2 linked regions of the Kluyveromyces lactis genome follow. The protein of the gene in region 1 interacts with the protein of each later gene in a biochemical or structural test. Links are inferred from orthologs where the notes say so. Each region holds a gene or a part of one and is shown in the gene's direction. Other genes may lie near its edges. The genes, in order: BNR1 and BUD6.

Region 1 (17,499 bases):
GTACCAGTTAAGTCTTGTATTTCAAGACGTATCACAGTCGAAACTGAAAAGCATGCCTGTCATTCATTCAATTATGGATTCTAATGATGGTATGATTAAGGAGATACCATCCCAGCCGATAGGTAGTCAACCACGCAAGAAATCTTCGACTTCTTCGACTTCTTCTTCACAATCACTTACACATACACTGCAAATTCAACCACATCCACAACCGCATCCACAAGTACGTCCACAAGTCCATCAACAAGTTCATCAACAGGCACATCAACAGGCACATCAACAGGCACATCAACAGGCACATTCACAGGCACATCCGCTGGCACAACCGCAAGGACAACCGCAGGGACAACCACAAATACCTACACAACTGCCATTGCTGCTGCCGCAGCTGTCACAGCAACAACAGCCACAACATCAACAACAACAACAACAACAACAACAACAACAACAACAACAGCCACCACAACGACAGCAGGAACATTTACAATTGCTGTCTAATATACCGCAGCAGCAGCAACAACAACAACAACTTTCAACCCAGCAAGCAGATTCATTACACTGGAATGTGAAACCTGATTTTGCTCAACTGCTGGATTTGAACGACTTTAACTTACAAAATCTCATTTGTGTCTCCCCATCAGACGCCAAATTACTGAGCTTACCAAACCTTAATGCCAAACCTAATACCTCAGCCACAGAATTAAAGAACTGGGTACCTCTTTTAAAACCATACGATATAAATTGGAGAAACTTTGTCTGGATAGATATGTTACAACTTTTAGAGAAAGAGGATCCATTCCAAACTGCATACAAAAGTGTAAATCCAATTGCGATCAGCGAAATCAGAATCGATGATCCCAACCTAACTAACTTCATTTGGAGATTTGCTTGTACGACTTTGATCGCGGGTAATTTCTTGTTATTTCCTCATGATAGATTCGATACCTTCATGCGGTGTCTCTGGTCTTTGAATGAGAAACATACAATTGTCCAAGATGCTATACGATATGACATCTCAGTTTTTATGCAGGACGTGTATGAAAATGCAAAGTTGCATCATTTCTCCCAAATATGGGATCGTTATGTAAGAGCCTTAAGTTTCAAACAAGTGTTGGGAACCATCAATGAAAGAATCCAAAATTCTCAAGACTTTGTGGAGTATGTTTGCTTAACATTCACCGTGTTCCTCATGTTTTTTGCTAATAGTGCCTTGAGAAGTAATCTCTGGAGAACTCATCTTAGAGGATGTCAACAGCTTTTGATCAGAGCATCAATATTGATGCCAAAGGGTCAATTGACCGATCTAGAGCAGAATGCTGCTGATATTTACAGTGTTTTAAGGGATTGGTTCTGTCATGCGGAAACAGCCGCTTCAATCGCATCGAATTTTGGAATTTCTTTAATTGATATCACTGAATTCACAAAGACTGCTTTCCTTACTGAAAGCTCTCCGTTGTCGTTAACAGGCAATTCTTTCAATCTCTTGAAAGGTATGTCCAATAACCTCAACTCTGTGTATTTCCACCTCTTGTTGCGAATGTTCGAATTTAAAGACAAAGGCGTCGATATTTCCGGATTAAACATTTTCCTTTTCAAAGTCAACGGAACGACAAAATCAGTTTTACCTCAATTATCTATGTTCGGTAGAGAATTGCTGGATGAATTACAGCGTTCAGCAGTTTTAGATTCGAATCTAGAATTGAATCTCATCGACGTGACTGACCTAAGGTTGAAATTTTCAATGCTTGCATCGCATAGCATGTTTTACTTTCTAATGGAAGTCTATCTCAAGGTGTACTTTCTTGATGTTGATCCAAAATCTCCTGAGATCAAAAGTATTCTATACACAATGGTGAAAACTTCTTATAGCAACCCTTATTACTCATCTTGTGGGGTGTGCTGCCATCCATCGTTGTTCGTAGGAGCACTCACATGTATTATAGCTGAAGATGATGTGCTTTATGTCCATTTCATCGACCTTTTGAGTAAAATCACCGACAGCGGAATGGCAGTTGCTAAAAATAGTGTAGACAAGCTAAACGCCATCAAAGCTAATGTTGCAATTGGTGCTTATCAGAATATCATCAATCCTGATCATGACTTTATCCCCATCTAAGTTAATATTCCCTTTCAATGTCCAAAAAAATAACGAAGTCAATCACTTTAAATGAATCCTCTAAACTGGAACAAATATCATGCCAAAGTTGTACTATTTCAATTATAATATAGAAGAATATAGATTTTCAATCAGTTACTTATTTATCTTGATGTGTGAGAATATATATATATATCTCCCATCCAAAATTCATTCAATTAAGAAACAGCTTTTTTAGCGCACAGATTCAAGTTTTTTACGGAATTTTTCTGTTATTGTTTTGAGTTTAAGGTTCAGTTTAGGGAAAAAATGCTCTTCAAGTCGTTATTAATTCGGAATTAAAATACAAAAATGGCGTATCCTGCATATTTAAACAAAACATAGAACGGTCGATGCAGCGCTCAAAAATGTAACAAAGGAGAAAACAGCAGAGAGTATGTCGTGCCACAAATTTTTTACGGAATGCTAACTAGAGATTAAATGGTGATAGTATTCCTAGATTTACTTATGTTGACCGTCAAAAACCTCAATTAACTAAAGGAAAGCTCGTTTTTTGCTTTAAATAGGAAATGTTTTCCACGGAAGTCTAAAAAAGTTGTAGTATTCTTTAATAAATTTCAAAAAGATGAGGAAGATCATGATCTTCGAGATTTTGTTTGTTGCCTTCTCGATACCATCAAAGAACAGTATTAGAGGTGAACACCTGAAAGCTCAGAAGCCACGTAATAGTCAAAACATCATAATTCAGAAACTAAGGAGGTTGAATATCAAGTTTGATAGATTGAATTCACTTTCAAATCTCCAGAAATTGACCGCCAATGACTATATGTTTCTTTATTCGATGCCTTCAGGAATGAGTCGGTATTCATTGAGGCAGTGTCGCAACTCTGGTCACGTTTTTTCTACAACAATCAGGTACCAATTTTGTGAAAAAAAACTGAAACTTTATGCATTTAGGCAGTAGACATGGTAAGTTAATGAAATATGAGATGAGATCAGTTTATAGAGAATGAGGGAGCTATGAAAAAGAACTTAAGCTATATAACCATTGGTATCTCAACCGTTTCAGCGTACTCTGCTCGGTAGATATTATTTTGAGAGATTCTAAATATCAGGCCAAGCAATCGGGTTACCATCATGTCTGCGAAAGCTGCAGGAAAAGTTGAGAATGGCGTAATTAAACATACGAAAGAGAGTGAAGCTGACAAGAGAAAAAATGCTGGACATAGTTATAGGAGGAAGAGAGGGAGACGGTCAAAGGCAGAAAAATCAGTACCTGCAGAGAAGGCAACCAGTCTTGAAATTACCGCCAAATCATCCCATAATGAAAATGCAGAGAAAAAATTCAAATTGAGAAATGCCTTGAAGTTGCAAAGAAAAGCCGAAATTGACCAATTGTGCCATTTGGCTGGGTCAGATATTGTAATGTTAAGGAAAGGACAATATGTCACGACCTACTCGCTAACGTTTATTACCACTGATCAAGATCAGAATCAAAAGAAAGTGAAATGTGTTTTCAACATTCCGGTCGATTATCCTCAATCCGCCATAAAGCTAAGTAAACCGAAAGACTGTTCTTCAGATGACCCGTTATCACGAATTGTAAACAATTTCAATTATAAATCAAAAGCTTTACTCAAAGATAAACAGCCGCTAGTTATACAATTAAACTATTTGGTTACCAACTGGAATTCTTTGCAGTCTCCGGAGTATATAAATAGGGACACGGTACAGAAGAATCTGATGTCAAAACTCTCTGATTGAAAAAAAAACACAGTAGCGAATAATATGAGTTACTCATCATATTCATCGAAATGGTCATTACAGAAGAGGGAAACTACATTATACACACGTTAATATTCACTCACTCCTTGACGAAGACTGCAGCAGCTCCCATACCAGTACCGATACACATGCTAACAACACCAATTTGACCAGCGTCTAATTCCCTTAATATGGTAGCGACTTGTCTGGCACCAGTGCAGCCCAAAGGATGACCTAAGGCAATCGCGCCTCCCCTTGGGTTCAATTTCTTCTTGTCGATTTTTAGATGGTTGACACAGAAAATGGCCTGCCCTGCAAAGGCCTCATTAATCTCGTAAACATCAACATCGTTGACATTTAAACCACAGTCTTTGAGGACTCTTGGAATCGCATATGCTGGGCCAACACCCATGATCTCAGGTGGAACACCTACTGCCTGGAACGCAACGTACTTACCAACGATTTCCAAACCCAATTTCATGGCCATGGATCTTCTCATTAGCAACACACCAGCAACACCATCTGATATCTGAGAAGCGTTACCGGCAGTTGTCACACCTGTTTCCTTCACAAATGCAGGTTTAATCTTTTGTAACGATTCGAAAGTGACGCCCTTTCTAGGACCTTCGTCCTGCGCAATTATAGATCCGTCTGGTAGTTCAATAGGGATGATTTCATCTTTAAACAATCCCTGTGAGACAGCCCTTTCCGCTTTATAGAATGACTCCAGGGCAAATTTGTCCTGGTCTTCTCTTGAAATTTGGAACTTCTTAGCAACGTTTTCATTAGTAAATCCCATTGGTATCATACACTTAGCAGCAGCCGTGTTCGATTTCAACTCATTTGATATAGACCCAAGAGCCTTCGGACCATAGTTCTTAGACATAGATTCCACCCCGATAGCCAACCCTACATTGATCTGCCCAGAAATGATCTTATTTGCAACGTCGTTAACGGCAGTTAACCCTGAGGAACACTGTCTGTTAATAGCCACTAACGGAGTTTGATATGGCAAACCAGCAGCTAACATCGCAGCTCTATGTTCTGTCGCACCTGCACCGGGATTCAACACATTACCACACGCAATTTCTTCAATGACACTCTTATCAATGTCAACTTTCTCAAAAAATTCCTTCAGAAACTGTGTAAGTAAATAATCCGTGTTAACATCTTTGAATCCTCCTTTGAACCCTTTACCAATAGCTGAACGATACGCAGCTACAACAACCACATCGTCCGGATTCTTACTCTTTATATCCTTTTCAGAACTGCGTCCTGTCAAATGTTTCTCTAATTGTTGAAGTCTGCTAGCCATATTATATTTCTGATTGACTGTACTCGCCTGTAGTATACTTATATCTTGCCCTATGATGTTCACTTGTCAATCAATTCATCTGATAAAAGTCAGTGATAAAGGAATAATGTCAGCATGACACATTTATGTACGTAATTTATACAAAAAATTATTTGTCAAAGGGATCACTCGCTAAAATAAATATGGGGAATAACGAACAATGAGCAGAACCAACCAGCCGTCGTTTTGGAGTATGTTAAAGAGGATTTAATGATCGCATACATCCCTTCTTCACGGCCATTAAGCTCGCAGTTAATCATCAACACTGAAAAGCAGAAACTTTACGGAGCTCCACGATGTCATTAACAATGATCCTGACTTAATCTAACTACAGTCTCAAATTTGCCTTTGCTCAAGGCTATGTCGTAGAATTGGAGATCGGCATTGTCACACTAATTCCGGTTTTCGTTATGAAATACCCTAAAAATGAAAGACCAACGTCGCATGCGGGGTAACCCCCAAGTTGAAAAAACTTACCCCGGGTAGCAAAGAAGATCCAACTCACGTGACTAGTATCTATAGATTGTTTCACGTGTCGCGTACTGTTTCCTTCTGGTCTCTTCTTCCTTTCCAAAGTGCGTTTCTGAGCTTTTGATCCTGTTTTTGTTTACGTTTTTTAATTTTTGATCCATCTATTAAGGAACGTAACAAAATGAAGCACTAAAAGCGTATGAAATTTAGTACACATGTTTTGTAACACAAAGGAAATCCATAAATACGTACACTTGAAGAGAGTCTAAAACTGTTCTACAATCAGCTTTGCTAATCATTAGAATTAATCGTTTTCTTTGACAAATTGTTTTTTGTACAAGCGTTTATCTAGTGAAATTATTTCGCTATCTCCCAGATCATTATTGAATGATCGCGTTTTCCTTGTATTGATGAGTATCAAATCACTTTTCTGGCTATAATTCTGCAACTGAAAATCAACAAACTTTGACCGACCAATGACTGTTGATAAGAATGAAAAATCCATTAGTATTTTGTTTCCGCTTCGATCTGGATCCATTAATGCTCCGACTGCAAATGCCAAGACCAGGTTTTCTAGCAATGATTCCAACGATGATCTGGTAATACAAGGGCTGAATCTAGTAGGAACAGGGCTCAAACCTCGCTCCCAGACCCTGCGATACATGAAATCACACAACTTTTCAACTCCGAACGTTGATTCTACGCGACATGTTTCTAAAACGGATAAAATGTGTTTAGCAGACACTCAGCTACCGTCAGAACAAGAAATTGATGCCAAGTTTGAAGAGTTATTGAATGGACATGCGTTTCTAGGTACTGCTAAGCAAAATTTGAAAAGCTTGTCGTATACCCGTAAATGGGAATTGATTCAGAAGGAAAAGAAACTACATGGTGATATAACGATGCAAGACGATTCAAAATTGAATACTTTACATATGATTTTGAGCAATTTGAATAAGAGATTCTCGGTTACTCAAACACTTTATCAATTGGAACGTTTACTTCGACATGCTGATTTTATTTCGCTGTTTGTGAATGCAAACGGAGTTTCGATTTTGAATGGGTTCATTGATTTATTGGATAAAAAATCCCAGTACGTGTACTTATGCTGTTATAAAGCATTGCTTAACGATACTTCAGCAAGATCTGTGATATTCCAGAATAATGATTGGATAACTTACGTCTTCTGCCTTTTAGGAACGCTCACAACTGACCTTAGAGTTCGTCTTTTATCTACCCAAATTGTGATCCTTCTGACATATTCCACTGAATGGTCAGATTCTTTGTTGGAATCGTTAGATTTGTGCTACGAAAGTTGGATCCAGGCAGTAGAAATGACTCTTCGAAACCCGGAGGATTATGCGTTTAACAACTCTTTAATTCTTCCAAAACCAAAAGAATTGCTCGTAGATTACTCTATATCTACATTGTTACTGGTTCAATCCATTCAACAACTTCTGCCTTCCAATGATCTAAAACTGGCGTGTTTCAAAAGATGGAAGAGAGCTGGAATACACCGGGTTTTCCGGCTAATGAAGGATTTAGACTCATCAGCTTTGAATCAGGACATAGACCTGTATATCGAACTTGAATTGAAGGTGCAAGACAAACAGTTCAAAAATGAGTTTCTGAGTGAAATATCTTATGGTCCTCAAATCAAGAGTTTAATCGAATATACTAAAGATACGCCGTTAGAAACGCCTATTTGCAATATTATAGAAACGATCTTGGAGCTAGTAAATGAAAGAACAACGGAAGGTTCAATAAAACTGTTCTATGTTTTCAATTCTATTCTAACCTATCTATGCGAACATACCTTGGATGGTAGCTTTGATGAAACCAACACGGAACAAGTTTTCATGACCTCACTAGATCATATAATGGATAACTTACAATCCCATCAAATTGCCAAAAGAGCAATGATGGAACTGGATGAAAAGAAGAAAGAATTTGATGGAATACAACTTCAATTGGATACATTGCTACAAGACAAACAGGTTTCCAAAGGGGATCTACTGCAGAAATTAGAAAATAAAGAAGAACTTTTGAAATCAAGGGAAATAAGAATAGAAGAATTGCAAGACAGATTGGAAGTTGTAGAAAATCAGCTAAAGAAAGAAAAGAAACAGTTGGATCTCACTATCGCCCATAGAGATGTAGCAGAATATACACCAAAACGTTCTGTGTCACTGTTTGAGACTTTAAAAGAACATAAACCGCTTATTGGTACTCAACGATCAACTTCCTTATCAAAAAGTAAACGTATAGCATCGCTATCCACTGTTGCAAATGAAAAACCTCAGTCAAAATATCCGCACTCTACCCCTTATAACATCTTGAATAACAATTCTGACGATGACCTTCCAGTGACTCCGATATATCCACGCAAGAACGACATATTCCATCAGGTATCAGCACTCCCAAAACTATCTTCCAGTAATGATGTAGTATCAGCAACGACCACAGAAGTTCCATCAGCCCAAACAGCATTTGTGATTCCTGCTTCTATTGCAGCACCAGCGGCTCCGCCGCCTCCACCACCACCTTTACCGCCTCAACTGAAAAGTATAGAAGCCTTCACCTCACCAATGACCAATGGACCGGCCCTAGTAACTAGTTCTGCTTCCTGTGCTTCGTCAAATGTCGCGCCTCCACCTCCGCCTCCACCTCCGCCTCCACCATTACCATCAACTCTGTCATCCCTGAACAAGGAATCCACAGTAGAAGATACATCTTTATCAGTTGCATTCCCAAACGAAACCCTCCCAGGAAAACCAACAGACGGCATTCCTCCTCCTCCACCGCCTCCTCCTCCTCCTCCACCATTACCTCTAGCTAACAATGTGACATTCGTGTCTAAGCCTAAACCAGAGGTAAAACCGTTGAAGCAGATTCATTGGGACAAGATAGAGGATATTAGTGACACACTTTGGAATGAACCAACAACTAGGAGTGACTTAAAGGAGGACTTAAATGAAAAGGGTGTCTTTAATGAGATTGTGAACTTGTTTGAACAGAAGGCAGTTCGAATGAAGAAGAAATCCAACGTTACAGCTAGTAAGAAGAACGAAAAAGTTTCTCTTTTGTCAAGGGATCTGGCTCAACAATTTGGAATCAACCTACATATGTTTTCTTCATATTCTGTTGAAGACCTTTTGATAAAAGTACTAAGGTGTGACGATGATATAATCAAGAATCATAGCGTTCTTGAGTTCTTTAACAAGGATGACTTCGAAACTATCCCCCAAAGTATAATTAGATCTTTCGAACCCTATGCGTCAGATTGGAAAACCGGTAAGGCTCCGAAGGAAGACGTCAGTAAATTGGAAAGAGCTGATAGAATATACCTCGAAATGTTTTACAACATGAGATATTACTGGAAAATCAGAAGCTCCTCTCTCTTGATCGCTCTGACATATGAAAAGGACTATTATGACATCTTGTACCAATTACAGAAGATCGATGATGGGACCTCAATGATCAAAAACTCGAATAGACTCAAACAATTTTTCTACATTGTCGTAGAGATCGGAAACTTTATGAACAACAAGAAAACGCAGGGTATCAAACTTTCCTCATTGAACAAACTCTCCATGGTAAAGACAAACAGTGATAAGAATTTATCCTTTTTGCATGTGATAGAAAGAATCATCAGAGAAAAATATCCCGACATATACGATTTTACAAGAGATTTGAATAGGTTATCTGACCTGGGGAAGATTAACATTGAATCGATAGAAAGTGAGATACACGAATATTACGAAAAAATAATGAGAATGAAGGAGTCATTCGAACGTGGAAAACTCTCGCATACTGAGAAACACCATCCAGATGACAAATTTAGAAAGAAAATCAGCGCCAAGCTTCCCAGTGCCGTCAGAAAAGCAGAACTGTTACATAATCAATGTAAACTGACTATGAATGATTTCAACAGCACTATGAAGTACTGCGGTGAGGATCCAACAAATTCCGAAGCCAAAAACACGTTCTTCAGAAACTTCTCTGAATTCCTAACGCTTTTCAATAAAATATCACAAGAGAACAAGGAACGAGAAGCAATGAATCGCGTACATGAACAAAGACAACAGTTATTACAGAAGGCTTCGACAGAAACCCAAGTTGAAAAATCTGCCGATGACGAAGCTGCAGATACGATAGATATACTGATCAAAAAACTGCGTAGCGTTGACCCTCAACAGACAATCCCTGGTTCATCCGTTCCCGGAACATCATCTCATCCAGAAAAACGTTCTACGCCAAGAACCAACAGAGATCAAAATCTATTATCACGAGCCATGACACTTAAGAGCGGCATTCAAAACCTGTGAACAACCTCTCTCCTCTAGCCCTCAGTCACATACAAACTTTTCCCGATCCAGGAAACCCAAGTACAATACATATGAACAGTTTAAACGTATATATATATATATATATATATAGACCAACGCCGGAACAATATTACTCGAAAAGTTTCACATAACTTTTCCCCACGAAACGGAAAAATAAAGCCCTTTAACGTCGGAAGCCCAAAATTTCGTGAATTGTCCAACCTTTCAGCATAGCCAAACTGACAGTACTCCGATATTCATGCAAATCTCATCTACAAACCGGTCTCTGCTTCTCTCTTCGTAACCATACACAGTCTAGATCTAAAAACCTAGATCTAAAAACCTAGATATATTACATCAGCATTTGATACCTAAACCCACAAAAATAACAATCCTGCCGCAACTATATCGCCAAGCCACAAGCCGAGAAAAGATGTAATCCTAATATAACAGGGTAACGCAAGATATTTGTACTGTATCCTTACTTAACGCTACACACTCCTTGTAAACCATCCCATCTCAGTTCTCAGGTCTTACCTATCTCTATGTCCACCGGCTAATAGCAAGATCTGCATGTTCTGATCGGCTTCTATATTTCCGTTTTCTCAACGTTTACGACTCGAGCAAATACAGCTTCTGCTAGTCAGAAACATCAACACAACTTCCCGTCTGGAAGCATTCTTTTTTTTTCGAAAAAATCTAGGTTTAAGAGAGATTTATATATTTATATATTTATGTATAAGTGCAGATACAGTTACAACGGATCTGGAGATCTATAAGTATTTAGCAGCTAAGTGGTTTGGCAGAACAGAGTATCCACCTAGCATAAAATTAAGAAGGTTAGAAGTAGTTCCCGGTTATACACTGGATCTGTTTGTGCTTTGGTTTTTTTTTGGTCTGATTGTTTGTTACTTGGTGATATAAGGCAAAGCGTGGTTTGAGACCTGTCTTGCGATATTTGTGAACTGATCTTCGAACAGTGTTATAAGTATTCCTTTCTACGTCGCGAGTTTTGCTAGTTTTGACGAATTCGTAAGTACTGTGTATCATGAGTGATAATACTGTTGGCGTGGCCGTTGGTTGTGCTGTAGGAATACCCATCGGAGTGGGGATTATAGTTGCGTTTGGGTTTTGGTATCGAATGCAGAGGAGATTCAAGGAAGAAGAGCTGGAACACGACGGGCATTCAAATTTTGATGAAGAGATGAGTTTCAACGATATGGGTGTGATGAAGATGCAGCAGGCTGGTGAGCATGTTCAGGAGAATGAGCACGAAGTTCATGGGAATCACGTTTCGTCCGATGAAACGGCATCGTCCAGTGAGGAGAAGAGGGAAAGGGAAGTGGATCATACTAGTACTCAGCTAAAGAATAACTCGTCTACCGGGTCCATCAGTAGGGGTAAATCGGGGAAAAGGAATATATATACGCCTGCATATCGTAAACGGTTGCAGGAAACGGTTTCCTCAATACAGAAACCCATGGATTTTGATTCGAGCAATAACACGAAAAGTACTTCTACTTCGATCACGTCTGCAGATACTCCAAAGAGACAGAGTAGTCAGATCAACATGTTCGATAAGATGATACCGATGCTGCCCGATGCTGCAGTTGGTGGAAATGGATCAGGATCCATTTTTGACGAGGGATCTGTGCCCAGGAGAAATTCATCGAATGAAACTCTACTAAAAACGATCGGAACACTCGATTTGGGTGCATATCCAAGGCGAGGTTCGTCAGTACAAATTTCCGGTATGAATAATAATAATGCCATCAACAATCATAATATTAATAACGCTGATAACTCTATCATTTCGTCGAGACATTCGTTAACATCGCTGCATACACACATGTCTTCTCCAAGTACGAATTCAAAACCTATAATAGAGAATGTATTCGACACGCCGAAAGGTTCTAAAGTGTTGACCTTACCAGCGGAAAACGATTCATCTGAACAATATAGGCTACAGAATAATTACGATATCAGAGATGATCATCACATTGCTGAAGAAGATCAGTACGAAAATGAGTTCACGAACTACTCGGAGAATAAAAGGGAATTTATCGATTCTTTGAGACCAAAAAGACAAACATAAGGCAACCGTAAAATGGTACTATCTGTCACTCCATGGAGGAAATCCATTCATCTCCTGGCTGAGAGAAATTCACATACTCGAAAAAAAAAAATCTCATTAACCATTGTTTGCCAACCGGTAGACTCATACCATATTGGAGCTGCTATTACTATCATCATTGTTATTATTATTATTACTATTTTAATCTGTGTATTTAATATTTACAAGATATAACGAAAGGAAAAGTACACAGTTAGCTTACAAGGGAGAATAAGGGCTAATGCATTATGATAAAATGATACATAAATAATGAATTCTCAGTTGAAAAATACACTTTTATAAAGTTTTAGCACCACCGCTTTCCTCTAATAGATCGTATTTCTTGTCATCAACCTTGACACTCCATTCGTGGATGAAAAATTCTTGGTGTTGGTTCTCTCTGTCTGCAACTAATCGAACTTCACCGACCTTACCCTTGGAACCCTTCAAGTAAAACTTGATATTGACATTACCAGCAACTTGATTAAGCTCCCCAGAGACCCATGGAACGAGCCCATCGAAATCTATCTGATCACCAAGAACTTCTCTAATCTTAGGCGAACGACGCATATGGTATAGGGTATTGGAAATAACCGGAGACTGTGTCTTCTCATAGTTAAAAATCATAGCCAATGCTGAGGTCATTAGAACAATGAACCCAACAAACTGGAGTCTTCTCTTGTTGACATCTTTAGTTGGGTCTGGTAGCTCTCTATCGATTCTCATTGGTCTAAACTTGTCTTTTAATATAATCTCTGGTTCTTGAGAGGCCAAAAACCTCCTTGTAAGTATTCTGCTCACAGAAATTCCGGATCTTGGTGCAAGGATGCGTCTAAACATTGTTAATATGGAGTTTCTAGCCTGTGCTGGTGTTGGCGGATTGTGTAGCAATGTCCCTTCCCTGTTTCCTAATCATCGTATGTTGTACTGGCCAGCTTCTTCGACTAAATTTTTCAAATACTCGGATCTTCTTATAATATCATTTCATAGTAGAAATCAAACAATGAATCGAGAAAAAGGTATGAAACTTGAGTCAAATCAGCAAACAGGAAATCATCTGTGGCCAAAAGAATATACAAAGACGAGGTGTCTTCAAATAAACCACGTTTATTCCCTAAAATGACCTTTGTATGTTATGCTATGAAGCCTAGTTTGGGTTGTCAATCGTATTGCTACGATTATATGTCTAAAAGATACTAACATCTATGCTATGAAATGCGCTCATTCCTTCCGAAGAGGAAGAAGGAAAGAGTGTGAATTGGATGAGCAAGACTAATTTAAGATCGGTAAAACTGTACATTTGGCTATTGATGCTGTTTTAATTTCTACCTGCTTGGCAGGTATTAAGAGAAATACTGGATTGACCCCTAAGATTGATCACATTAGCGATATTACCGTTAGGGAATATTCCACGAAATATTTGAACTTGGGAGAGTCAGTATATGATTATACAGTGGCAACTCTAGGATCTTCATCATATTTCCAGAGGAAATGAGATACAAAAGACGAAGTTCCCCTTTAATAACTTAATTTGTTTTTTTTGTGTGATCTTTTCGCTATAACGGGTTAGCTATGAATGAAACAGATGTGATTGTAAGTCCTTAACATATATTTATAGTTAGTATATTCATTATATATTTAAGTGGTTTTGAAAATTAAAGTTCGGTGTAATGATACATTGCTGGTTTCAGCTTGGATTGATGGCGAATTCAGCTACAACTTCTTCGGTTGATTGCTTGTCGTCCATTTGCTTCTGCTCGCAAAATTTAAAGATGGCATCGTAGCCAGTTGGTGTATCAGCAGCATTTTCTGTATTTTGAAAGAGATCATTTATGTGTGAAATACTAGGAGACTTCCGTTCTGAGCTTTTTCCATCACTGCCAATGTTACCTCCCAGTGAGCGTAGATTCTCCCAGAAATCATTACCATCTTCTTCCATAATTGATATTGAGGACACGGTGCTTGGGGTTACTTTATTCTTGGGTCCATTGCGATCAAAATCTTCAGCTGGTGTATTTCCTGTCGATCCTGCAGCACTAGAGTTTCTGGATTCATTTTTACCTCTTCTCTTTGTTTGTTTCCTCTTATGTCCATGAAGTCCATTCGGACTTGGATTTAACAATCGGCTTAATTCAACTGTCTTGGCGTTTTCACTGGATCCAAGCTGTGGCTTGACCGTGGGTGGTAAATAATTGAAATGTGAGTGCCTACTTGGCCCTATTTCTCTGATTTCTGGAGCTGTAGGCGATGGATAAGATGCAGTGGAACTTGTAGGATTTGGTGGCAACTGGCTTAAGCCGTTTTGTGCATAATTAGCCCCGTTCATTAAATGCTGTTGTTTTATGTTCTGCTCTTGAGCTTCATCTAGCGAATCATGATGATGATGGTGATGATGATGATAAAATCGTTGTAGTTTATCGTTGAGAGCCGATGGACTTTGAGTTTCATCGTCCAATCCCCAATTGTTGAAGTTTGGAGTTTTGGATAGAAAATCAGTTTCGAAGTCAGAGAAGGACGGGCTTCTAATTTTTGGAAGATCTTGTGAATTTGAAGTAGTATTACCAATGTGTTTATTTTGTTGTTGCTGTGGTAACATTAACGGAGGTGGAGATATTTGTCTGGGAGCCAGATAATGGTTGTGAATATGCTGGTGAATTGATATTTTCAAATCATTGGCCTTGGCATGATTTATTAACTGTTTTACCAAGTCAGCGTTTGATATAACACCGTTGGATAAGGTATGACCTGAAGATTCCTTCAGACTAAATTTCCAGTCAACTGTTGTTTCTGGTTGTTGTTTCCTAGTTTCGACATTGGGTATTGGAAGAAATGTGCTAGGTGATGGTAATGCAGATTCTTTTTTGTTGATGCTGCCAACAAAAATAGAAGGATGTGGAGAGTTGTAATGCGGTGAAGGCGATATTATGCTATTTAAAACAGCTGGATCTGGGGTGGCTGTCGATCTTTCGTTAGATTGGTGTGGTTGTTGTCCATCATTCGCATTGATTTTTCCAGTTTTCAAGACATCCAACAATGCCGCACTAGAATTAGTTCTGTTAGTCATGTCAAATATCATAGGTGTCGATTCTTCTCTCTTTACAGTACCACTCGGGCTCTTCATTGAAGGTTGTGGCGTATTTGAAGTTGACATAGGACGTGAAACATCTTCGTCATCATCAGTCTTGTTTTCCTTTTCGTTTTCTTCACCTAATCTGGTCATCTCGTTACCTGCATCCATGTTTCCAGCTTGTACAGCGCTTTTTATGGTTTCAGATGCAACGCCTCTAACAACCATAGTGATAATTTTCCTCCAACGATTTCTACAGGTTAAACTTGGCCTAGCATCCATTTCCGTCGATATTTGCCTCCATTTCGTACCATATTTCTTGACCTTCGCTATAAGTAGAAGATCTTCCGTCTCATCCCAAGGTCGTAGTCGGTCTTTAGTACTGGGATCAAGCACTTCGATGTACCTCTTCGCGCATTGGTCTTCAGTTCTATTCTCTAAAACGTAGGAAATCTTAAACCATTGCGGACCATGGTGTTCATATGATTTTAAGAGAAGCTCATCCTCCTCTGGTGTCCATTTACCTTTCTTCAATACAGGATCTAAAGAACTAGTCCATCTCTTTTTCACATCCGTCGCTTTCTTATTATCCAATTCGAATTGCTTGGCAAGCTGATCCCAGGGAATTTTTTTGACAACATTACTAGATTGCTGAATTGTTTTAATAGATTTGATACCATCCGGATATCCCAAATTTACTAACGATTCGTTAACCAATTTTCTAAGCAGATCATCTTCTTCTTTGGTCCATATTTTCCTCATCTTTCTTCTAAACGTTTGATACCCTAAAGATTCTGAAACCTCAAGAGCATTGACTGGTTCCTTCTTAACTCTCTTCCTCAAATTGCTCATATGCTCCTCTGACATATCACCCGAATCGTCACTCACACTGCTAGCTACAGTTCCTTTCTCACTCGACGATTCATTCATATTCCAGTCAAAATAGATACTTGATCCAAGATACTGATTTCTTGATAGAAAAGTCAAAAAATTAGACTGAAATCAAGTTTATTAATTAACACCAATTTTACTACTTCTCAACCAATGTTTTTGAGATTGTTCAAAACTTTATAGCAAGTGTATCTCGATATTTCCGTTATGACTGTTAGTACAATCAATAGATGACGATAACGATAAACTTCTTTTTGTTTCTGTTAATGATATTTTGGGTTGAAAACCAAGTTGTAATTTAATACAGCTCTGAAACTGTCTACACAGCCTTGTATCTGCTGTGATATAGGCGCTGTATTCACCGTTTTCACTTCGCTTGATAGATACCCTGAGAGATACTCTACATAGTTATGATGTCAAATTTGAGTAATCTTAGTCTGGCAAATTTCTTTATTTTCTTTTTCAGGCAGAAGGGCCCTGGCAGAAATTTTGTGCACGTGATAGTATCCGGGTAATGTTTAAATAAGTATACATTTCTCAACATGGATTGCATCTCTGTCGAAAAGCTGCTTTCAATTATCAACAATAATAACTTCAGGAACGAAGAAACGAGGTAATATATGGTAACTTACAGGCTACATGGCAGCTGAAATACTAGTTTTGAGTGTTAGTTTAATTATTGTAACCGAATCATTTGTTAAATTCTAACTTTCACCACTTATATGAAACTGGCGTAGAAATAATGACGGTATCGTATCATCGAAAAGGGTTTGATGACATTAGTGATTATTCCAGATCAACGGTGATAACTGCAGATGTCTCTTCTAAACCATACTATTTCGACCGGAAAGGTATCAAAGATAGTTTAAATTCTGGTAATGAAGCACGTGATAGAGGTAGCGAAAGTAGGTGGAAATCGTTGGGATATAATACTGTCCTTTCAACTCTTTTTGATTCAGCAAAGACATGGTTTTCCTGGATTGATCCTTTGGAGCAAGAAAATGGGAAAGATCGTACCATTTCCAACACTACTGGAGCAAATTACGACAGTTTGAAAAGAGGAGTTGATGAGGAGTCGACTCCGAGAAAGAAAATTCATTTAGACTCACTGCTCCAAGAGAAGGAGCATTTAAGGGAACAGTTACAACATTCAATTACTCCAACGAAAGAAGTGTTGAAGTTACCTAAGGATCCTTTCCATTGGGATAATACTAATGAAGAAAACTATACAGAATCCTCACCTACAAGAGTACAATATGGAACTAGACTCTATAGAAAACTCAAGCATAAGAACCAGCAACAGCAGTCCACTGCATTAATTGCTAAACCGTCCGATGAAGTATCATATTTAAAAAATTTATTCAACGGAGAATATCATGTACCGATTGAGATGCAAAAGGAAAGGGAAAATCAGCT
Region 2 (17,088 bases), on another chromosome or scaffold:
AAGTATTCAATGACAAACCTTAATAACGATATGGCTTCAGTCATTGTATCATTATTTCGATAAAGGTTAATAATCTCACACTTAGAATAAAGTTTAAAGAAAGATATTATGTGGTCAGTTATCTTCTCTGGTATCTGATTTCTGACTGATATAGAAGTAGAGAAATATCTACTAATTTCAAGGAAAAGAAGCTGACATACTGCGATAAAGAAAAAATGAATGGGCTTCGCCCGTTCTCTTAAACTATTAACTTTGGCTCTGAATTCGTGATGAAACCTTTCGATTATATCGTACACTTCTGTTGACGTCCAAGAAAACAAAAATTCGGCCAAACTCTTAGCAAGACTGTTCACCTCATAGTCAGGCCCACCAAACTTTACAACGCTATCTAACATTTCCCGAAGAGTTTCTTCAGCATTCTGATTGAACTTTGAAACAATAAAATTATCTCCATTTAATGTTAACTTGATAACATTGGGAGAGTCAAACGTCAATGATTTGTTAAGCGCTTCTAATAGCGAATGATTTAATATCGTAGTGGGTTTCTTCACTTCAAGGTTAGGGTTGGAAGGTAAAGTAGACTTGTATCTTCCAATGTGTGCTATTGGACGGACAGCAAACTTGTCACTTAGCTCTTCAACGACTGTTGAAAAAGTCATTGCTTTCCGATTTAGCTCTGCGTTAGGAGTTGGAGCGATGGTGAAAAGCTTCATTCCATTCTTAATTTTCTTGGTATTTTTGTCTCTGTTAACCGCCTTGGAATTTTCTTGTCTAGTTTCCTTAACATCAGGTTTATCACCAGTCTTCCCTACCTTTGGATATCCCAACATGCTAAATGGCTCCCGGTAGCTGTTTTTTGAGGAATTTTCCCTTGTAGCTTTATTGGAATTAACTTTTCTGAAAGGACTAACTTTATTCATCATGGATATTCTTTCTCGCCCGCGTGATCCTGTTATATTTCTAGCTCGTTTCTTACCATGACGCTGGATACCTGTACGTTTTGATTTATCTTTCAGGATTGTGGGTTTACTATCCAGACTTCTACGATTCTTCTGAGTCTTTGTTAGCATGAAATCTATTTCACTAGTAGAATCTTTAGCTATTGCAGATGAAGGTTCAATGCTCGAAGGTTCAAAGATTATTGTTTCCAACGCAGTCTTTTCATCATCATCTAGAGTAAGTAGTTCGATCCCCTGGCTTGTAATTTCAGTAATATCATCAGCTGAAGATGGTGGATTTGAATCTGAATCTGAATCTGGTTCTGGCTCATATTTCTGTAGAAAATATTCCTCTAGTTTTGAGTCTTCCATTGAATCTTGCTCATTCTGTAGCCGTAGATATGTTTCCGGGAATCCAACTTCAATTTCAGCATCCGATTCTATTAATTCGTTTACAAGGTTGTCGTCTCTGGAATTAAACGTTCTACGAGATATTTTTCTCTTGGCTAAACCTTTACTCCGTGAATTTTCATCGTAGTGGTTATTTTTATTTCTTCCTTGTCTATTACTTTCAACTGTATTGTTATCAAGTGCTTTCTTCCACGCCATTTTGGGTAATACACCTTTGTATCCTGTTCTGATATTGACTTGCCTTCCTCTAAAAACAACGTTATCATCATAGGATAAACTGGATCTATCAAACTGATTCGAGTCACTTTCCGAATGACACTCGTCACGAATTTCATCGCTGTCTAGTTCAGCATTACCATATACCTCATCATCATCATCATCATCTGAAATATGGAAATGGTGATGCCTTCGAAGCCTTGTTGACGCAATAGTCGAGTGTTCTTGCTGTGAAAGGCCGCCCTTCACAGGACTCGAATTGAGCACGCCCCCATTGTCCGTATTAACAGTAATATCTTGCCGGGAACCACTCGGCAGATTGATATGATCTGCTAGAGATTCGAAATTAGATACATCGTACCCTTGCAATAACTGCCGATGCCGTATTCTATCCAAACTATACGGCATCTTCTGGATTGCTTTACGCTTTCTCAATGCACGTCTTATACTATTAGAGTAAACTCCAATATCAGGAGGTGTCTGTGCTACGTTATCGAGACTGCCCGGAATGACGCGTACCTGGTATTCGTCATCGAAGATTGGAAATACATTTGGTTCCGAATGCAGAGGTATTACGATCTCTTCATCACTAGCCTCCGAATTGGGGACTACAGAGTCCTGATTCATCCCACAGAAACCACGCTATATGTCATACGCGGTAACACGTCTCTGTTGGTTGCTTAGCTTCTGAAATGGTAAGTTTCCATACTTTCCTGTTTCATTATCTCGGCCTAACTTCAGGAAATTACGTTTCTTGATATTTATCAACAAAAGATTTATGCAAACCAAATCAAACCTAAAGCTTTTTGATCTAGTAATGCTTTGAAGAAACATACCGTTTAAAAAGTGTACGTTGGATTTCCTAGCTAGTAGTTAGGTGTGTGGAAGCAGTAGGGTGAGGTACGTAAGGTGTGTCTGATAAAGATGGAAACACCACCACCAATTTCTAAATCAGCATCATCTGTGGAAACTAGTGTGACGAAACTATTGATTTCAACTAAACAACTATTACAAATTCTGACGCAATGGTCCAAGGGCAAAGTTACCGAGCGTAATGTTTCCGATGTGTATGTTCAATTGGGTAATGATTTCAAGTTAGTCAGTAGACATTTTACCCATGCTAGAATTGATATTTCGGATCTTGGCGATGTGCCAAAAGACCTTCGAAGAATATTGGAGGTGGCATTGAGAGAGACTGCATCTGAGGAAACGTTGAATAAATACCTACCGCAGATCAGAGATATTATAGTTAAACTCTTGGAGAAACTTAAGGTTAAACAGGCGATGATAAAACTGAGCAGGAATGAAGATGCTTTGAAATATCAGCATACTCCTCAAAGATCTTCCGTTTCATCCGTAGTCAGCGCAACGACATCTTTGGCTGGCGCGGGACCGACATCTACTTCAGCTCATATTGAAACAAAACAGATACCTACGTTAGAAGTTCCCAAGGGTTCTGAAAGCGATGCGTTAACTCAATTGAAAAAGGGAAATAATCTGCAAAGAAGAGCCTCGAAGAGGTTTTCAGCGTATCATATGGCGAAATTAGCCAACCAAACAGCTTCAGATCCATCGAATTCCCCAACGTCTAAAAATTTAGCAGTTCCAGCCGCTGCTGCAGCGGCAGCAGCGGCCAATGTTTCTGATACAGAAAGCATTAAAATGGAAAGACAGCCTTCTCGAATCTCTTCTGCTTCATCCGTAGATTATCATCCCATGACAGGAGCACCAGAACCAAAAGGTGATAACTCAAGCATAGATGAAATTGTTGTCTTTTTGAAGATCGGTGAGAAGGTGAAACGATGTGTAACTAGTTCTCACCTCTCTTTCAACAAGCTTAGACTTTTATTTGTTGAGAAATTTGCATATTCCCCAGGAGGTGATGTATTCCCTGACATATATGTGAAGGAACCCAAATACGAGGCATTTTACGAACTTGAAGAGAGTCACCTACATGGTATAATAGATGGGAGCGTATTCCAATTACAGGTACAATCATCGTCTCTAGATGAACAGTTCCGCCAACTTCAAGATGGTTTATTAGAAAAGCAAGATACAATTTTTCAAAATTTGAAAGAGATTATCCAAAATAGTACTCACGTATCGTCACCAGATTATTCAAGTGGTCCAAAATCCTCAGATTCTGCAACAGTTATACATGAGGATCATCGTAAAGAAGTTGCTCATATTAGGCACGAAATTACCGTTTTAAAACAGATACATAGCGACCAAAAGAGATCGCTTCAAAATACTATAAACGCTATCGTGGAAAAACTACAGAAATTCCAGAGCCTTTCAATAACTACAGGAAAGTCAGCTAATCGCGATTATATGGAAAAGTCCCAGTCGAAGTTATCCGAAGTTTCTGATAATCTTTTGAGTAAAGTTGACGATCTTCAAGATGTCATTGAGGCATTACGTAAAGATGTGGCCATTAGAGGTGCGAGAACACCCAAGAAGAAGATTGAAAATGTATCGTCTGAATTAGACTCCGCTAAGAAGGATTTGGATCAAATGAGAAATTATATAGATGTCGAAAAGCCAAATTGGAAAACTATTTGGGAAGCGGAATTAGATAGGGTGTGTGAAGAGCAACAGTTCATGACATTGCAAGAAGATCTCGTATTTGATTTACAAGAAGACTTGAATAAGGTTATGGAGACATTTGATTTGGTTAAATTGTGCTGCGAACAACAGGAAAAGGCCCCAAAGAAGAATAAGGGAAACCCCATTCTTCCGATAGCCAAGCCAGGCACATATAATATGATCCGCGATCAAGTCTTGACTGAAGTTCAGAATCTCAACCCAGATCATGACAGTAGAGTGGAAGCCATTAAAAAGGCAGAAAAACTAAGAAACAGAGAGAAAGAGTACAAGGAAAATGAAGCCTTTGAAGATGAGTTGGGCAATTTCGTTGAGAAAGGTAACTTCAAAAAGGCCGGTGGCATTGAGGAGATAGAACGCCTAAGAAAACAAAAAGACGAAGAAAATCTGCGTGTTAATTTTGGTCTGATATAGGTACAATAATTTTAAGTAATAGCATTAAAACTCTATTAATAGTTTCAAATCGCTGACATTTGTCAAAATGTCTGCAAATGCGTTCTTCCTTAATTTTAATTGTTCAAGGAAAACTGACAACACCAGTTCTTTTGACGCGACGGACTTTTCCATCGAGAACATATTAGCTGAAGAGAGGTTAAGATCAATTCGCTGAAAAATGTTGAAAACAAATTGTTTGAAAGATCTTCTGCTGCTTTTCTTCCTATTAAAAAGGACAATGAACGATTGAATTACATTTAACGCAACTTCTCTCAGGAACCTTGCAGCCGTTTCCCAAGAATTTAAGCGCTCGTCCAGCATATTATAAGATAGTCTCATCTCAAAGATCCAGAGTAATTTATTATACAGTTGCTTAGATGATCCCAAAACTGTTCCTAGGACATTATACGATGAGCGGTCTTTCCAAACTTCTAGGGTTCTTAGATTTAACTGCAGTGCACAAAAAGGTACATTTGTTGATGTTTCAGATTCTGATGAAGTAACCAAGACTTTTTGTGGGTTTATATAAGTATTGAAAGATTTGAATCCTGTTTGAGCCAGATTATTAAGCCGCTCGATGTATTTCTTGGAAGTTGAAACTATTAGAAAATCATCCACCAGCCGTATTATCATCGGATCTGAATCATTTTCATCAGTAAACTCGGTGTAGAATTCAAGTAGGTCGTCATACAATATATCAACAAGAACGGAAGATAAGGGAGTTCCTTGAAAGAGTCCATCTTTTCTTAAGTAACACTTGCCTCTGTAAAAGATACTGGTTTTGAAGAGTTCCATTTTAACTACTGTTAAAACGTCTTCTTTTGATAAGACAGTAGTTTTGACTGAATCAATTACTAAATCATTTTCCTGGAATTGTATGTCTCCATTTACAGCATGAAGCCTTTTCAGACGAGTGGAAGCAGTTGTCAGTATATCTTGAGATCTAATAAAAAACTGCTGCTCTTCACATATCCGAGCCTCTACCAATTTCATTACTTTCTGAACCGGAATTGAATCATAGCAGGATTGAATGTCAAACTTTAAAAGATAGAGATTCGGTATTTTACCATGTTTTAAAAGTAGCCTTTGCTTATAACTTAATACAATCTTGGGTATTTCCAAAGGAGAGAATGCTTTTGTAAACTTGGTATTTCGTCTCATCCTCAATCTTTCCAGTATAATCTTGGTGGGCTTCAGAGCGTTCGTAACGTAATCATTAAACTCGTTAAACTCTTGTATATTGACTCCTTTACACGGCACCGCTATTATTCTGAAATCGAGGCCTGATTTTTTTGGTATTAAACGAAGATTTCTGTGATTGAACTTGGATTCTGTGAAAGATCTGTGCTGGAAACAATATTTATTCTCAAGCAAATACCTCCTAAAGTAAGATTTCAAAAAAGGTTGTGACATGGTTTTCCAAGTATCATGACGAATATAAACTATATCGACAGTCGACGATAGTTCTGTCACATAGAAAAATGTAGATAGTAATTTTGGGACGTAACAGGAAAGGATCCAAAAAAACAGTTTATAAAGAAGCGCTTGTCGATTTTTCACATCATAATATGGAATCTTTTGAGTTTGTTCACCAGCTGGAAGCCGCCTTGTTTCTAGCCATTTGACATCTTTCACACGCAATCCTTTACATAATTCATCAAATAGTATCTTTGAATGGAGCGGTTTTTTGACAAGTATTGCAATCGCTTTTGATAGAACGCTATAGTTTGAATTTGATCCTAACAGGTCCAATGGGAACGTTTTTCTAACACATACAATGAGCAGTTTGATGACACTTTTGGGTGATGAATAGAAAGTATCTGATTTGGGGCATATATTATTGATGATGTGTCTATATGAAAACCTCTCGTGAGCTCGAATGAGCTCATATAAAATGGGTTTTAGATTATTCAATGCAAAGTTTAGAGAACGAGGTGTCTTACTGCTCTCTGATATTTTCGGAAAAATCTCAGCTATTAACAGCCCCTGATCAGTCTCAATGATATTCTTGTAATCTTGCGGTCTTATCTTATGATATAGAGCAGAGTTCCAATCTATCGTTAGCTTAGTATTTCTTTCCCTCCTATACGACCGATCTAGCCATGCAGGTGGCACCTGAGGCGCGTTAGCGGGGGTTCCAATTATCTGCCTGAAGTAATGGCCGGTGTTGAAATATACGGAATAGTTGATTAACAAATTCACAAAATTGTCAGTGCCAACCAGCTGATGGAACAATCTCCAGCTATTACATTTCAATACACTTACGCTTATGTTCGATGAACGGCAAAACAGTTTGGTCATGACATCTGAATTCTTTCCCAGCTGGTAACCATAAGTCAGTATATTATTCGTAAAATTCTTGTGCAAAAGGTAGAGAATGCATGTTTCTATAGTTTCACAGTGATACGATGAGCTGAAAGTAGAAGATATTTCAATTTCAGGAGGTACGCAATGTTTGCTGTTAACTTGTGCGAAACAGCTGAGTAACAGATTGGATACCCCATTAGAGTCAGCATTGATCAGAATATCCGATTTTCTGAGGGTTTCATAGCACTCTAAAGATTCCAAATATTCGACAAGAATTTTCATCTAAACCAATTGATATAGGTCATTATTCGAAGTCACCTTAGTCATCTCGATGATCAATTTAAGGTTCTTATTAATTATTCTCAGTGTTCATCTTTCTTACGAGCATGATCTAAACTGGTAAATAGTGTTTCGTAGCCTATAATTTCTGGATATGAATTTTTCAATGATAGAAATGTAAGATGCGATGCGATGAGATGATATACTAATATGTAAAGGGTAAAGGAAATGGATGCTTAATTATAGCTCTAGATTTACTAGTTATTCACATGAAAAGCTAACAGTATGGTTAAGAAACATCTGAACCCCACTAAGATCGATTTTATAAAATGCATCGTCGAAGATTGCCTCTGGCAAATTCGAGATACCAAAAACGTTGATGTGCCTGATCTAGTTGAGGCTTGGTCTATCGAAGTACGTCCAAGGGAAAGTAAGTCAGTGATACCATTCGTACGAGGTATTCAGGATAATGACCCCGTTTCATTCCTTCATGTGAAACGGATCAAGAAGCTTGATAGCGACACACTACGAGTACTTATCGGCTCCAAAGAGTACATACCGGATAGATCAACTTTTGACAATATGCTGAAAGGAGTCGTTTTCCAGTATGACAATGTGAAAGACGATAACAAAGTACCGAAGGTCGGTCCATCGACTAAAAGCTTAATGTTGAAGTGGAGTGAACAGTATTGGCCGTTAATTTGGAGAGGAAATCCTAATGACCAGATATTAAACGACTATATATTTGACATGACAGAGATTCGGTCATTGTTAACCAAGATAGCAGAAGAGTCTCGAGCAATCCGAGATTCGGATAGCATGCAACTTCCAATAGTATCGGCATTCGTTAATCCAAAATCTGGTAAAATTATAATATCAAAGGATTATAGACATAGTGGATCTCCCCTCGATCACAGTGTTATGGTCGGAATAAATGAGGTAGCTAAAGAAGAGCAGGAGAGAAGAGACCGTGTCCAAAACGGTACCGCGTCAGAAAAAGATATACATCAAGGGGAAACTTATCTCTGCTTAGATTTTGACGTATACACCAGTCATGAGCCGTGCTCAATGTGCAGCATGGCACTAATTCATTCCAGAGTGAAAAGATGCATATTCATCAATCCTATGTCGGTCAGCGGTGCACTGAAACCTGATTCAGGTGATGGATACTGCATGCATTCAAACAAAGATTTGAACTCCAAGTATGAAGTCTTCCAATGGGTTGGTGAAGAATTGGAAGTGCCTGGAATAGATTCTACCGTGTGTTCTTGAGCTTTTCAACTAGAAGGTTGGTTGGTTTCCATGTCCGTTATTAATTTTGCAACATTATCGTACATGGAAGTATCTATTGCTTCAATGTCACTGAGTTCCATTGCATATTTCAAAAGTTTTGTATTTTTATTATCTAGTTCAATGTTTAATTGATTTAAATGCTGCTGCAACATATCATCAATGCTATGCAATAGTTTATTTACTTCCTCGAGAGAAATGGAGTCTTCAATTTGTTCCCGTTCGAGCTCAACTCTTATCAAAGACAGCTTGTTGTCGATGAGTTTATCTATTTTTTCAATGATCCGTTGATCATTCTCTTCATAACTTTTGTATAACTGTGACGCGATCACAGTGTTGGATTCCGGTATCGTTCTAGAAAATAGATCAACAAACTGATCCTCAGTATACAAACGTGAGACTAAAATGCCGTCTAAATGCTTGTATAATACTTCGTGGAGCATAGTAATTGAAGTAATAAGGATTTCGGGTATGTACTTTTTATTATTCCCAGCGTACGCATTACTGATTCGCGATGATCTTTGATCTTTTTCTATTTGTTGTGGAGATTTTTGGCGACTAAATAAATAATAGTCTGACGAAAAGGAAGAGTATTTGTGCAAAACCACAGATGACGGTGGTATTAATACATTAATGATACATAAATCTCCACGAATAGATGGAGAACTTTATTTTCTATACAGCTTTGTCTAATGGGCGTCTGTGAAGTTAAACTGCTTGGCCGGAAAAGAGAACACACTTATATTCTCAAAGTAGTTTCCAAGTCATCCATTCTCCTCTTGCCTCTTCTTCTGGATCTTCCGTCATCGACCTTGGCACTTTCTCTCTTTAATCTTCTCATGTTTCTCTCCTTTTCAATTTCACGCTTTTCGATTTCCCATTGTGAGAGGACTTCTACCTTAGGGAACCATGAGGCGCCAAGTGTATCTATATCTAGACGGATACCTGATGTGTAACCGAAAGCTGCCTTATTTTCTACATGGGCCAAATTCAAATTACCTTCGAGCCAATCCTTCTTTACCTTTAGCAAGGATTCATGCAACGAATGTGCAATGGCAGGAACGAACTCTCTTTGCAAGCCCAGGTCCTGTACCACCAATTCTGCGAATTGTTCTGGGCATAATGAATCGTCATTAAGGTTCCATTCAAAAGTGTCATCATAAAGCTTGGAATCGAGATTTGCAGTCAAATTTATTATCACGTGTAAATCAGGAACCTGTAAAGATGCCAATGTTTCATATTCTTGTAATTGTTCGTTAATCATAGAGATAATCTGTGTATATGGGGAATTATTTGGGTTGGAAAGCACTGGGAAATCAAGATCCTGGCACAAGATCGTAGCAAACTGTTCTGGAGTCATCGAATGGTCGTTCAAATTCCACATGAAAAAATCTGCTAACTTGTGTCCACTGAATTCAACGTTTAACCGTATTGGAACCATTATCGGGCTTTCTATATCCACTTGCTGCGGATCCTGGATAGAATCTCCAAGAAGGTCTTTATAACTGATAGCGATCCTACTTTGCACGAAAGTTTCCCTAATCCTAGGATATTTCAACAAAGCTAGCGGAGTGGCAGAATCATCCTGACTTTCAAGGTCGGGCAAGTCGTTTAGTTTGATGCGATCCAATTCTGAGCTAGGATTTGACGTTCCTGCAGTACCATCGTTTGTACCGTCTGGCCCAGTATCTGCAGCCGGCGTTCCGCCAGTGACAGCACCGGGGTCACCAGACCCGGGCGTGCCCTCACCAATGCCACCATCTTCACCGAGTCCCGCCGCTGCGGCGGCGGTGGCGGCAGCAGCCGCAGCACCTCCATCACTACCGTCTACTTGATCATAGTAGTCCCCACCCCTACGACGACCATCCGAATCGTCCACATCATCCTCCAAATCATCCTCATCGTTCTTGTCGATGAATTCATCCAAGAGATCCGTATCGAACTCAGCGTAGTTCACCTGTTTACCCCTCTTGTTTCTCGATAACTGCGCAGCAGTAAACAACGGAACATCCTCGTTCTTCACTCTATTATGGAAGTTACTCAAGTAGGCTTGCGGTACGAGCGACATATCAATACAATTTTGGGAGGCAGGTCGTAGTTGCTTTGTCTGCTGTATATCAGCACGCTTCAATGAGTAAACCGTTTGTTTGTAGTAACACTATCATAGTCTTTATTCAACCAGCCCTAAAACACGAACTTGCACTTCTATTCTTGAATTGATGGATACTTTTTCATATTCGTATACAGTGATGAGTTGATTGAACAATCTAAGTGTTACCCTGAGTAAACATTTCACTTGTCAAAAGAAAAGGAATCCAGTTTGAAAAAAATGAAAAAAAGAACACTTTCTCAGAAAAATCCGTACCGTTTTGGAACCATTTACTATGGCAAAATCGTTTTTCAAAGGGGTGGACCCATGATTTTTGAAAATAAACTTGGTTTTTCTCAAATTGTCGCAGGGCACGCCGCAGCGTGCCCTGTTTTCTGCTGTTGCCTTTCCAGTATCTATCTCATCGCACTTACAAGGAAGAAAAAAAATTTTCTTCCACCGCACATTGCATGCACTTTGAATACACGTAGATGCCATAATTCCATAGTACATACGTCTTACATATCATATATCTCATAAATATATATATATATATATTGGAACTTTTCGAATTAGAGTTTTTCATCAGCTTTTCAGTATTTTTTTTTCGTCAATTTGATTCAACGTTCCTTGTAAGAAGAAGAAGAGGAATTGATTCTTTCCTAGTTTCTTCTCTCACCAGGTTTAACTATCCATTAACGATGTCTTTCTCTGATTTCTCCAAGGTCGAAACCTTGCAAAAGTTGAACACTTTCTTGGCTGACAAGTCTTACATTGAAGGGTATGTGAAATAATTATAGTGGTGGTTTTCCAATGGCATCAAGCAGTTTTTTGAATAAGAGAATTCTTCAAAGTTTACTATTTCAATGATGAACAAATTCTTTGGTCCGTGTTTATGACGGGAAGTAAGACCCCCGGTATGAGTGACAAAGAGACAGTACCTAGACAGTACGATTCTGATTTATCTTTTTTATTGAATTCTCTTTTCAGCAAGCAAGCTTAGCTGCCATACAAAAAAATTTCATTTTTTTGTTCTTTCCATTTTACTAACTAACAATTGCATCAATATAGTACCTCTGCTACTCAAGCTGACGTCTCTGCTTTCAAGGCTTTCCAATCTACTTACCCAGAATTCTCTAGATGGTTCAACCACATTGCTTCCAAGGCTGATCAATTCGAATCCTTGCCAGCTGCTACTTCTACACCAGCTGCTGCTGAAGAAGAAGATGACGATGACGAAGTCGATTTGTTCGGTTCTGACGATGATGTCGATGAAGAAGCTGAACAATTGAAGGCTAAGAGAATCGCTGAATACAACGAAAAGAAGGCTGCTAAGCCAAAGGCTGCTGCTAAGTCTATCGTTACCTTGGATGTTAAGCCATGGGATGACGAAACCGATTTGGAAGAATTGGTTGCCAACGTTAAGAACATCGAAATGGATGGTTTGAACTGGGGTGCTCACCAATGGATTCCAATTGGTTTCGGTATCAAGAAGTTGCAAATTAACATGGTCATCGAAGATGCTAAGGTTTCTCTTGATGAATTGCAACAACTTATCGAAGAAGATGAAGACCACGTCCAATCTACTGATGTTGCTGCTATGCAAAAGTTGTAATTAAACTAATTTAAGTTCTTCACCTTTTTCCCCTTACATAAATGAATAAATAAATATACTATATTTCTCAACGACCCCCTTCGTGCTTTCTTGCTGGACCCGAACCCTTGCTGTCTCTTTTATCCTGTTATGTTCATCTTTCTTTTAGGTTTACAGCCTCTGAGCATCTTAAGAATAGAAATGTGCATAATATAAATGCATATAGATAATTAATTAAACATCATGCTGCATTTAAGGTAAAATATGAGAAAAAAAAACAGGAAAGGCAACAGAAGCCCTACGGTCTAAGTTCGGTTAAAACAGTTTTCGATTACCTGTTTGTCAATTGCCAGCAAGATTCAAGTTTCAAATGAATGGCTCTCATAGTACTGGCCACGATAAGAGAAACAACACAACCGATTTCGAAAAGTTTAATCCCTTTAAGAGCTCTCAGGATGAATCCCTGCATGTAAGCTGGACTTCATTGCAACAAGTGTATCCGAATTTATCATATTATGGGGGACCTACTTTCATTCTTCCGGTTCAGCTCTACTATATCATAGGTACGGCAAAGGGAGCCGTTGTTATCTTTAACAAGAAACAATTCGTTCAATCTGTACTAGCACCATCTTTACCAGATTTTAGATCCAAGGTAACATTTATCGATATAAATCAGGATGGTACCCATGTTTGCGCAGCCTATGAATCCGGTGATATATTCCTGTGGGACTTAAACTCTCAAGTCGATGAAAATTCCGATTCTAATCATCTAGAAGCCGTGCTGCATATTGCTTCTCATAGAGGACATTCCTTTAATGGTCTTAATTTTATCCCGGGGAAACATACCAATATTGCAGTCAGTGATTCTACAGGACATATTGTACTTCACAAGGGTACTAGAAATCATCTTTGGCAATTGGTACCTAGTGCAAAAGAAATCTTGAGGCTGAATCCAATGATAAACCCTTTATTGACTACGCGCATTCGAAGCAACGGTGAAGATTATGATGCTGAACATCTGTTAGCAGTTTTATCTAATCGATCCTTCGCAGTCATATCATTGTCATCGCCAACTTTATCAACTTATCGGCTCATTGAATTGTCACACAAAAACTCGGCCACTTTTGGATATATCTCCTGGAATGACGTCAATCCAAATCAGGTTGCCTTCTCTGTAGATAACCAGTTGAGCCTTGTCGATATCAGGTTTCCGACTTTACAATGGACGTACGAAGCTCCTGAATGCATTTGTAAAGTTGCCTGGCTCACAAATAACATTTTGACTATTTTGCTCTTGTCAAGTAAGCTTCTCGTTTTAAACATAGGTAGTGTTGATACCGATGAGGATCCTGTACTCACTAGTATTGACTTACTTATTCATGAACTGATGGTTCCAGAATCTGAGAACCATTTCGCTACGTTAAATAACACGATTGTTGTGCTCACCAATTACAGTTTAATGGTGGGGAAAATTAACTCATGGTCCGATATTGTCTTACACCATATACATAAAGGAGATTACATTAATGCATTAGGAACCCTAGGTTACTATTTACAAGGTCCATCATTCGATTCGATAACCGCCTTATTACATCTGGAAAAAGACTATCAGAAAAGAATCAGACAAATTGAACCATCGTTTAACAACTTGACACTAGCAACTGTTCAATTTTTACTGAAGAAAGATGATATAAGTTACAGTAAGGTCACTGAAGCTACATCATTGATTTTGGACTTGGGAAGTATTTTCTCAGATGAAAAGATGTATGTGCTTTTAGAACAGGTAGGGGAAGCTTTGATGACCAAACATAACGAAGAATTTCAAGAAATACTTTACGAAAAAATCGTTAACGGGACAGTAACATACCTCTCACCAATACTTTTCAAGGCTGTGATGGAATACACAGTGTCTTCAGGAAATGATAGAAGGTTAGAGACAATTTTATTATCGCTAGACGGTACAACTTTGGATTTGGATTATGCTTTCAAGGTTTGCAAAGAGTTTCGTCTCTACTCTGCACTTTTATATCTCTGGACAACCATTTTGGATGATTATAAAAGTCCCCTAGTGGATATAATATTTTACTTTGCTGGCAAAGAAGAATGTTGTGTAGTTTTTGATGCTAACATTGAAGATAATACCCTTTTCGAGTACATCGAATCAACTTTATTGGGAAAAGTTTATCCAACAGAAAAAAGAGTGCCTTCCAAAAAGATTCTATACCTAAAGAACTTTTATTACAGCTTACTTTTTAGTGGCTCTTCTTTGGAATGGCCACAAGGCTCTGGAAAAAAGCTTTTAACGTGTCCCCTACCAGCAGAAGAACCAGCCTTTCCATATGCTTCCCTTTTAATATCATCAAGTGCGCAAAATTTCTTGCACGTTCTTGATGTCTCATTTGAAGATGTTCTGTTCAATGAATCCCCTCAAAATGGATTTCATTTTACTAGACAACATATAATTGATGTTCTTTTGGACATACAGAAGAATTTCAAAGAAAATCATGTGAAACTTCTTATTGCCCTCTTTGTGTTCAACAATTTGCCAAAGTATTCTCAGTTTATTCGCCTAACCAACACTATCATTGACTCACAAATAGACGTCATATTATCTGCTGATTTGGAAGGATTTGAACAAATTTCTGAAGATTGTCTTGAAGCACTATTGTCTGTTTATTCACCAGATAATATTAACGCCCTAATTGATAAAATGTCAGGAGTGGATTTTTATCGTGTTCGGCTTCTGCTATATAAAAAGGCCGGAAGATATACAGATTATCTTACCTTTATTCTTAGCGATCAACACAGGAATACGAATGGCAATGATATTATTGCAGGTTTGAAACTATGTGATGGTGCTACAGCGAAATCGCCTATCGGTCGAAGTGAAATTTGCGACCTTCTATCAGATACATTTCCGAAGATTATCGAAAATTGTCAAGATCAGCGTTCCCTTGTCTCAATCATAGACTCTTTTGATAGTAGCTTACATGAAAAAATTCTTCTTATTTCTGATCCGTTGACGCTCTTAGGATATCTTCGTATACTTCTGTCTGGGAACTATCATCTATCTGCCCCATTTTTGAAGAAAGCAAGGCCGAAGTATCTATCATTGTTGTATGAAACCGGAGATGCGTCCGGTGTATCACAATGGGTTGACAATATTGACCTTAAAAACATCGAAGTTGAGAGTATTGTAGATATTATTAACGGAAATAGGGATTCGAGAACTTTGATACGATTGCTAGTACGGCTAAAGAACTATGGGTCGGCAATAGATAAAATAAACTCGAAAATCAACGAGTTATTACAAAATAATGATTTTGACGAAATTGATAATTATTTGGATTTAGGCATCAGTGTATCCCAGAAGACAGATGAAACTAACAAGAACTGGGTTAAATTGATATCAAACTTGGTCTCTCAATACCCAACTCTTACCGATGATCAAAAAGCGTTTTGTGATAAAAGTTTGCAGAAAGTATTTATTGAGCTTTCAGATGGGAACCTGAATGATATCGAAAACTCGGAGGAGAGCTTTTTCTGGAAGACCCTAATGGAGATATTTGAAAACAAATCTCTTATCTTGAGTAAAATCAAAGATATTAAAGTGGTGTTGAAGAATATTTTCACAGCTTATTCTGTCGAAGAGACAGTGAAACTTCTTATTTTACAGATTATCAATCAAAGTGCATCATCAGATATTACAACCTATATGCACAGAAAAGAACATGGTTGGGCAATTCAGTCTCATGAGTGTGAAGTATGTGGCAAGAAAATATGGGGAATTGGAATCGATAATAAAGTCTTTGAACAGTGGGAGTCAGCGAGATGCCACGAGGTCGCCGCTAGTGGTAGCAGTGCACTCGTTGTATTTAGTTGTGGGCACAGTTTCCACAGCTCCTGTTTAGAAAACATGGGCCAACACGAGGGTGCTTTCAAATGTTTAACTTGTGACGATGAGTAAAGTTATAGATAGACATAGATATATACAATTCATATAGAGTTGGCCTTTATAAGCCTTCATCCATCCATGCCAACGTTCTTCTGATACCTTCTTCGATATCAACCCTTGGTTGGTATCCTAAAAGTTCTTTAGCTTTTGAAATGTTGTGATAACGGTAGGCACAAACGATTTTAACTCTGAAGGGAGTCAAACCTGGCTCTTTGCCCAACAATTTAGAGAAGAATTGAGATAGGTACCCCGCAGCAATAGCCATGGGTCTATTTAGAACAATAACTCTCTTATCAATATGACCGTCTGCCTTCCAAACCGTGCGTGCCAAAGCCCAAAAATATGTTGGTGTGTCATTGGTGATGAAAAATGTTTCTCCAGATACTAGCGCAGCAGTAGTTGGATTCAGAAGCTTTTGTGCGGCTAGTACGTGAGCATCTGCAACGTTTCCAGCGTAGGTCCAGTCGAACAGGTTGTTATTGTCACCAATTTGAAACTTTGATTGCCCCAACTTAGCGACTTGCCTCAAACCTGGGACCAATTGTCTATCACCAGGACCAAAAATACCGGCAGGACGTAATGCTATTGTTAGGAAGTCATTTTCTGGATCGTTTGCTGATAGCACCATTTCTTCCGCAATTGCCTTTGTTTCGTTATAACCATCCATTGGAACTTCTGGAATTGGCCAAGTTTCATCAGCATTGTGAATGTCCTGACCATTGAAAATAACACCAGCAGATGAGGTATATACTACTGCTTTAACTCGACATTGTTTTGCGACAGTTAATAGATTTTTTGTTCCCTTAACGTTGACCTTTTCGTAAATCTCTTGACTATTACCATGCATTGGAGATGCCGAGTGAACGACGATCGTGGCACCACTTGTCTCAATTGCCTTTCTAACATCAGCAGGTGACGTTAGATCACCTTGATGGAAGGTAATTGTCGAAGGATCAAAAGTGAATTGTTT

The links.
Region 2: the proteins of BNR1 (region 1) and BUD6 form a complex in vitro, tested with the Saccharomyces cerevisiae proteins (3 studies listed by BioGRID). The link is inferred for Kluyveromyces lactis from reciprocal best matches to the Saccharomyces cerevisiae genes BNR1 and BUD6.

What each region holds. Positions count from the first base shown.
Region 1 is NC_006042.1:997,667-1,015,165, forward strand, and holds BNR1 (formin BNR1), read left to right. Parts: upstream 1-6,160; coding exon 6,161-10,012; downstream 10,013-17,499. Other genes in the region: KLLA0_F10835g (Zn(II)2Cys6 transcription factor domain-containing protein), read left to right, coding at 1-2,116; SMU2 (Smu2p), read left to right, coding at 3,233-3,859; POT1 (acetyl-CoA C-acyltransferase), read right to left, coding at 3,960-5,174; AIM20 (Aim20p), read left to right, coding at 11,061-12,107; COA1 (Coa1p), read right to left, coding at 12,423-12,965; ATG44 (mitofissin), read left to right, coding at 13,245-13,253, 13,408-13,620; KLLA0_F10978g (uncharacterized protein), read right to left, coding at 13,813-16,122; SUMO protease ULP1, read left to right, coding at 16,826-17,499. UniProt on the Saccharomyces cerevisiae protein: May organize microtubules by mediating spindle positioning and movement in the budding process. Potential target of the RHO family members.
Region 2 is NC_006039.1:1,620,258-1,637,345, forward strand, and holds BUD6 (formin-mediated actin nucleation enhancer), read left to right. Parts: upstream 1-2,489; coding exon 2,490-4,583; downstream 4,584-17,088. Other genes in the region: MMS22 (Mms22p), read right to left, coding at 1-2,192; EST2 (telomerase reverse transcriptase), read right to left, coding at 4,608-7,193; TAD3 (Tad3p), read left to right, coding at 7,476-8,462; NKP2 (Nkp2p), read right to left, coding at 8,468-8,923; SFH1 (Sfh1p), read right to left, coding at 9,220-10,548; EFB1 (translation elongation factor 1 subunit beta), read left to right, coding at 11,271-11,350, 11,641-12,184; CORVET complex membrane-binding subunit VPS8, read left to right, coding at 12,534-16,130; ERG26 (sterol-4-alpha-carboxylate 3-dehydrogenase (decarboxylating)), read right to left, coding at 16,177-17,088.